Ovis aries: one gene and its partner. The protein of the gene in region 2 purifies or fractionates together with the protein of the main gene of each other region. This does not show direct contact. Links are inferred from orthologs where the notes say so. Each region holds a gene or a part of one and is shown on either strand. Other genes may lie near its edges. The genes, in order: SYTL4 and RAB27B.

What was found.
Region 1: the proteins of RAB27B (region 2) and SYTL4 purify together in Homo sapiens (co-immunoprecipitation; 3 studies listed by BioGRID and IntAct, counting the BioPlex papers as one, with this or other methods). This does not show direct contact. The link is inferred for Ovis aries from reciprocal best matches to the Homo sapiens genes RAB27B and SYTL4.

Annotation. Positions count from the first base shown.
Region 1 is NC_056080.1:132,467,965-132,471,788, forward strand, and holds part of SYTL4 (synaptotagmin-like protein 4), read right to left. Parts: intron 2,622-3,824; coding exon 2,443-2,621; intron 2,150-2,442; coding exon 2,047-2,149; intron 1,527-2,046; coding exon 1,365-1,526; intron 1-1,364. UniProt on the Homo sapiens protein: Modulates exocytosis of dense-core granules and secretion of hormones in the pancreas and the pituitary. Interacts with vesicles containing negatively charged phospholipids in a Ca(2+)-independent manner.
Region 2 is NC_056076.1:54,601,907-54,605,730, reverse strand, and holds part of RAB27B (ras-related protein Rab-27B), read right to left. Parts: intron 2,720-3,824; coding exon 2,596-2,719; intron 1,060-2,595; coding exon 870-1,059; 3' UTR 1-869. UniProt on the Homo sapiens protein: Small GTPase which cycles between active GTP-bound and inactive GDP-bound states. In its active state, binds to a variety of effector proteins to regulate homeostasis of late endocytic pathway, including endosomal positioning, maturation and secretion.

The DNA of each region.
Region 1 (3,824 bases), on a different chromosome or scaffold from region 2:
GGGCAAGAAAAAAAAGAAAAATCAGAGACAAAAAATGGAGAATGTTTTCAGTTAAAATAAGTATGCAATACTGGAGTGGTCTTTCTGTTGTTTATAAAATATCTATACAATTTGTTAGTCTCTAGATTGTGAGCTTCACCTTAGCTGGAAATTGGCATAATTGGCGTACTTGTTTCATTTTGAGCATATTTTCATTCTGGCTCAAAATAATTTCAAAGAGCAAACAGTTCCATTTCAGTGCAGGTTTTCCTTTTGATGGAAAGCATTCTTTGTTGGCACTAGTTCATGATGGTTTACAATGACATTTCCATTAGAACTGCATCAACTGTAGGCCCTTGAGAGAATGACTTATATGCCAAATGCTTAAGAAATTCTAAATTTCTAATAATATGCTATAGTTTTATTATACTGGCTTTCCTATTTGTATTAGTACTTAAAGGGAGATTTTTAATGTTGTTACTATATTTTTGGAGGGCAATAGCTTCAAAATATTGAATGTTCATTTCCTTTGACTCAGCAATTCCACCACCAGAAATTTCTCCTACAGTTACACTCACAAAAGAAGGACTAGATATAGTATACCATAGTTTTAACAGAAAAAAAGAGGCAAATCCTAACTCTGTTTTAGCAATTTCATCTTAACCAGAATGACAATAACCTACTGAACATCTTTTATGTGCCAGGCACTGATTGGTACTCTGTCTACGATCCTGCAGAAGAGAATATTATTATCATTTCCACTTCATAGATGAAGAAACTAAGGCCCACAGAATTTAGGTGACTTACCTAAGTTAGTTTTTAAGTTAAGTAATTTACCTAGCTGTTAAATCACAGTGTCTGGATTCAAATCCAGGTCCACACTCAGATCCCAGGTAATATGACACCCTCTGCTACACTCTCCCCTGCAATTCCATCTCAAAGTAATACTTCCCCTGGCTTGTATGACAATGAGCACGGGAAGTGGAGCTCCATAAATTGGTTTACTTCCCATTTCTGTAGTGAAAAGGGTAGTTTGGGAAACCAGCACAGATTAGGATACATCCAAAAGGTTAGCTTGGAGAAAAGGCACAAGTCAGGATGTTAGGATACACCCAGACTCTGGAAGATTAGGAAGCAAAGCTTGACACACATATATATGAAAGACTTCAAAGGGGAACCATGGCTTCATCGTTCACCTGGCTTGTAACAGAAGAGATGACTGACACTTGCCGTCCAAGAGCATCTGAAATTACTGTTAAACTAGGAAGCCCCAGCAGGGGGCGCAAGAGTTCCACAAACTACAATCAAAACTGTTCCTGCATAAGTCTCTGCAGATAATTCGACCTCAGATGTAAGCTCTGTAAGGAGTTGTTAAAGCAGCCTACCTTTCCATGTAAGGGGAGACAATGATCCAGTTTCTTATCAAGCTTCCAGGAATCCATCTGGACCTCTGCCTCTCCAAGAAAAGTGTTTCTGCCAAAACGACCATGATGCCACACCGAGAATTGCAAAGTTCTCTGGGCCAACAGAGATTCTGGGATTTCATACTGTGAAAGGAAAGGAGATACCCAAGATGATTAGTTCACAGTAATTCCTCAGAAAAAGATTATTCCAAAATCTGAGCAAGCATACACAAAGTCCATAGTCCTGATCGAATCACTTTAGTCCCTAAGCACTTTGAGCTTCATCCCTCAAAGCCTTTACTTATCCCATTTCACAAAAACCTACCATACTCCAGGGGAGGACCTGGGATATAAATTTTTCCTTCAGTGAGTGAGAGAACACTGGAATATGCAAAAGAACTGCCAGGGAGACTCCTGATCCCAAACGACCCCTTAAAATGAGATTTGCGACCACGTGGCCCTCCAACTTCACCAGAATCCAAGAAAATCAAATCAGCTTTGTTTGCTGAGAGGTCAGGATGTGAACAGATGCCCACAGTGTATCCTCAAACAGAGACATGGCCACTGAAAACCATGTTGACCAGCCATATAGTAGAGGAATTGCTACAGCTCAGCACACAAGACAGAACAAGTTCTCCTATCCTCTCAGACTCTAGATACTTACTCTGAGGATCTCATCATATAACGGATTAATAGTGTCCTGCTTGATGCTGGTTTTTCTTTTTCCTTGGCGGGATTTGTCTGGCAGAAGATAAGCCTTCACATATCTAGAAGCCAAGGAGAATACTGAGTCATTGGCTGTCTTTATGGCAACCTGCTTCTCACTTCCCTGCCCTCCATACACACATGCCATGATGAAATGAAAATATCACATCAAGCCCTCCTCTACACACCATTCTTGGATTTTCCTAATCCTGGCCCCTTTCCCACATCTCCCCTAACCACTCTCAATCACACCTCCCCGTCTGCCCAGGAAGTGAGAGCTTTGGTTCAAGGGTGCCCAGAGAGATGCTGGGGTCTGATCATCTCCAAGCACTGTGCAGGGTCCAGAAGCACTCACGGATTTGAGCGCTTCTTGGCTTCATCAGCAAAGGCCAACTGTTGGCACTCCTTCACGTGAATGACCAGAGCCTGTGTTTGCTGCTCGTACTTCAGAGAAAAGGCAATCTTTCCGGTCACAAAGATGTTCCCGAAATCACCGGCTTCACTATAGATGCTCATCATGCTGCCAATCGTACTCTGAAGATAAAGCACCCACATAACAGGTGGTAACTAGACTTATCATGGGGAGCATTTGTAAACTTATAAAAATCATTATGTTGTATAACAGGAACTAACATAGTGTTATAGGTCAATTATACTTCAAACACAAACAAAACTCATAGAAAAAGATAGCAGATTTGTTGTTATAAGAGGCAAGGGGTCTGGGGAGGGGGAATTATATGAAAGTGGTCAAAAGGTACAAACTCCCAGTTATAAGATAAATAAGTGCTTGGGATATAATACACAACATGATACACACACACACACAGTATAATTAACACTGCTGTGTGTTATATATATTAAAGTGGTTAAGAGAGCAAATACTAAGAGTTCTCATCACGAGGAAAAAAACTCTATTTCTTTAATTTTGTATCTATATAAGATGATGGATGTTCCCAAACTTATTGTGGTAACCATTTCAAAATGTATGTAAGTCAAATCATTGTGCAGTACACCTTACACAGTGCTGTATATCAGTTATATCTCAATAAAACTGGAAGAAATAAACAAGATAAAGCACCCATAAACATGTGGTGAAGGCATGCTCTCCCTGCTACATTGCTCATGTTTTCACTCATGAGAAAGTCATAGTCACTAAACAAAACAAAAGCCCCTGCAACTAACCAGTACTGCCAATGGTCTTGTAGCCAGAATGTAAGAGACAGCTAACAGCACACTCACAACTGCTTACAACTGCTCAGGTTTATCAATCAGCTCACCTGGGCTCTGAGCTGTTCTGCTTATTCTCTTTTTATACATTTTTATTGTTAAATTTCAACTGCCCCAGAAGGTGGGCAAGGAGGCAGCGTGCAGCTGAGTCTGATTTTGGTGTATACTATGTATGTTACCATGTTGGTTGGAAGGGATCAGTTACCAATTAAAACAAGGGGCGTTAATTATCTGTGGTTTTCTTTTCTCCACCTTATCCCTCTAAAGGCCTATAGAGAAAAGTGACTGTGTCATATTTGGAGGGAAAACCCCACCAGAGGTGAAAAGCTACGTTCCTCTCAGCTAATAATCAACTCTGCAAGCCTACCGTTCTCTTCCTGTGTGTGAGTGTGATCATCTATTCACCCTGCTTTCTGACTCTGTTTCCCCTAAACATCAGTCTTCATACTTAATGGCAGAACTAGGCCCTGATTCTTAAATGTCCCTTTAACTTTATGATTCTGATTGGTA
Region 2 (3,824 bases):
TTCTAAAACTGTGCTGGAAATGGAAACCTCTGGGCACTCTCTTAATGCCAACCGATAACATCAGCTTCCAATTGGCTTGATTGAAATTTGGCTAAGTAACTCTCCCAGACATCTGTAAGAGACACGTTTAATTTCAGCTGCCCAAATGCCTTTTCCCATACCTTCATCTCTCTCTCTGGGCCTTTTTCTTGTCCTCTGCCATTCACAGTCCTATTCTTGTCTATCTGCCATTTATTAAGAATATACAAATGGCATGATTACACAGTTTCCTACATATTCTCAGATGTCTGACATTCATCCTCTCGTAACCTTATCAGCAATGTTGTCATTCTAGCACAGCTTATAGGATATACATAGTAATGTCACTCTAAATGAACCACTTAGAATTCTTTTTGTGTATGCACTTTTAGCTAATATGTCCCCCTCAATGCAAACCTAAAAGTCCAAATCAGATTCTATATAACAAGTAAATTCAACCTTTAAAAAAAAGTCATCCTTCTGTGTTCTCCCTTCAGAAACCTATTCTTGTCCCCAGTGTGACAAGGTAATTTTGGTTCTGATGGAAAACCCACTGATATCTGTTCTTCTATACTCTTTTATATGTTCATCTTCTTTATGAAAAAACAAACTGAGTACCCATGATGGTATGATGACCCTGGGAAATCTTTGATCTTGTTTGGAGGGGCTTCAGGGATTACTGGTCAACTCTTCTGAACACTGCTGACTAGTCAGGTTTTTTAAAATTTCTGGCAGGAAAAGAAAGACATGCCGTTATACATGGTTTACTCAACAACAATGGTGGGGTTTGTCGCTCTTTTTGGAAGTGACGTTTGCCTGGGGTTCTGGATGATCAGAGCCTGGGGTAAAGTCTAACAGGCACATTTCTTCTCTGCTGACTTCTCCCCATCCAGCTTTCCAGAGCTGCTCCCATTGACCGTGTCGGGGATGTGGGTCTTCTCTACACACTGCTCCATCCGTTTCATTATTAAGTCCAGCAGGGTTTCCACAGCTTTTTCCACATCCTGGCCAGTCGCTGCACTTGTTTCAAAATATGGTATGCTAGCATGGAAGAGATGACAAATATTTTTGCAAGGAAGGAACCAGAAAAGATACAACAAGATGTGCCAGTGAGTCACACGTGCGAAAACACGGCTGGCTGAGAGATTGTGAAATAATCACGATTTTGCTGGCTGAGTTGGAAAACATCCTTGGTTTTGCTCAGTGAGTGAAAACTGGTGAGTTGCTTTTTCATGTGGGTGTAACCAGCATTACAGGCAAGGAAACTGCTATAAGAGGTGCTCAGGTACTTGAAGCCAAGCCTCACCACTGACTTTTTAAAAATGAAGAGGGCAAATATGCCAGACTAGTGATCAATGTTGCCATTAAACTATTAGTGTGTTAGTCCCTCAGTCGTGTCTGACTCTTTGCAACCCCATGAACTATAACCCACCAGCCTCCTCTGTCTGGGATTCTCCAGGCAAGAATACTGGAGTGGGTTGCCATTCCCTTCTCCAGGGGATTTCCTGACCCAGGGATCGAACCCAGGTCTCCCACATTGCAGGGCAGGTTCTTTACCATCTGAGCCACCAGGGAAGCCTATTAAACAATTACTTCTCTCCAATCAATTATCAAGAAGTCTGATTTAGAAATTAGGCAGGCATTGCATAGGATATTCATGTGAATACAATCTACATTTATTTAGAATCCAAAGTTTCAAGAAGACATGTACATTTATTTGTAAAACTCTCAAGGAGGTACAGAACTGTCACATTTGGCAAAGTACTTAAATTTGAAAAAGAATGACAATTTCTGCCTTGGGAGTCAGTTTCTAACTACTTGGGGTGTTTAAAAACGTTTTTTACTCTGACATTTAAGCTAGCTAGGATAATAATAATTGGGCTTCCCTGGTGGCTCAAATGGTAAAGAATCTGCCTGCAATGCATGAGACCTAGGTTCAATCCCTGGGTCAGAAAGACCTCCTGGAGAGGGGAATGGCAACCCACTCCAGTATTCTTGCCTGGAGAATTCCATGGACAAAGGAGTCTGGCAGGCCACAGTTCATGGGGTCGCAAAGAGTCAGATAAGACTGAGTGACTCACACTTTCACTTTCAGGATAAAAATTGCAGTATTACATCCAGGTCAGGTATTATTCCTTAGAGTTTTGTAGCTACTGAGAGGCTGTAGAATACAATATTCAAAAGAATGGGCTCTGATTTCAGACAGCCTGGATTGAATTCAAGCTCTACTACTCACCAGCTATGTGGCCTTCCATAAGTTACTCAGCTTCTCTGTGTCTCAATTCCTCATATATCAAATGGAATAGCCCTAAATCTCATATATATAATTACAAGGGTTAGATAAATTAAAGTCTAGGAATAGTTGCTAACACACAATAAGCATTCAGTAAATGTGAGTGGTTATTAATGTTGAATAGTTTCATTAAAAGCATCACATATATTCCTCTGGGAGATCTTTTTCATTCATCTGTCACTCCTTAATCAAGGGGATCCCTCCGAATATCAGTCTCATGACCTTGCCCCCTAACTAAGCAGCAGTGTGTGAGGTCAGAGGATATTTCCACATAGCTGACTTACCTGTATTTTTCAGCCAGGTCCCGGGCTTGCCGTTCATTGACTTCCCTCTGGTCTGGCAGGTCCGCCTTGTTGCCAATTAATACTATATCTGGGTTTTCACAATAAGCATTTGCTTGCAGTTGGCCTTGGAAAGAAAACAGATGGAACCAGCAAGTTAGTTATAAACAAGTGATGTCAAAAGACTGCTCATACTTCAGGGTCCTAATTGAATTGTTCACCTCCAGCTTGACTGTTTACGAGTTAAATTAGCCCAGGTGCTTAACTCTTCCCAGCCACAGTTTCCTCATCTAGAAAGTGGAGATACTGCCTCACAGGTGGCAGGCTGTGAAGACTAGTAAGAGTGTATATAAAGCACCTGTGTGAATACCTGTCCGTGAGCTTCTGCATCTGGGGAAATGTCCTCTGAGATGAGCACAGATGAGGTGCAGTGTGATCAGCCATCACAGATGAGGTGATGTGTGCTCAGCCATCACAGATGAGGTGATGTGTGCTCAGCCATGTCCAACCCTTCGAGACCCCACGGACTATAGCCTGCCAGGCTCCTCTGTCCATGGGATTCTCCAGGCAAGCATACTGGAGCAGGGTGCCACTTCCTTCTCCAGGGGATCGTCTCATCCCAGGGATTGAACCTGTGTCTCCTATGTCTCCTGCATTGGCAGGAGGATTCTTACTACACCCCGTGGAAATGAACATCCGGGAATGTTCACCTGAGTTGAATATACTGCTTTTCAGTGCATTTATTCTTCAAATATAAGTGAAGATAAGGAAACATGGTCTTAAAGTATATGTGTGTGTGTGCTAAGCCACTTCAGTCGTGTCTGACTCTCTGCGACCCTCTGGACTGTAGCCTGCCAGGCTCCTCTGTCCATGGGATTCTCCAGGCAAGAAGACTGGAGTGGGCTGCCACCTCTTCTTTAGGGGATCTTGCCCCCCTCCCAGGGGTTGGACACCCGTGTCTCCTATGTCTCCTGCAGGCGGTTTCTTCGCCACTAATGGCACCCAGGAAGCCCCTTCAAGTATAGGGGCTGTCTGCTCTTTCCTTCAGGAGGCTGCTACATTTTTCTTTCCTGAAAGCCAAGGTAATGATTCATAAGGGCAGAGCGTTTCTGAACCACCAGAAATTCATGTAGAAACAATATTAGGACAGGTTATTTGTTTTTCTCTATTTTCCAAAAGAAGGTGGTGGGGAGGAGAAGGAAGGGAGGGAGGAAGGAATGAAATGATATTTT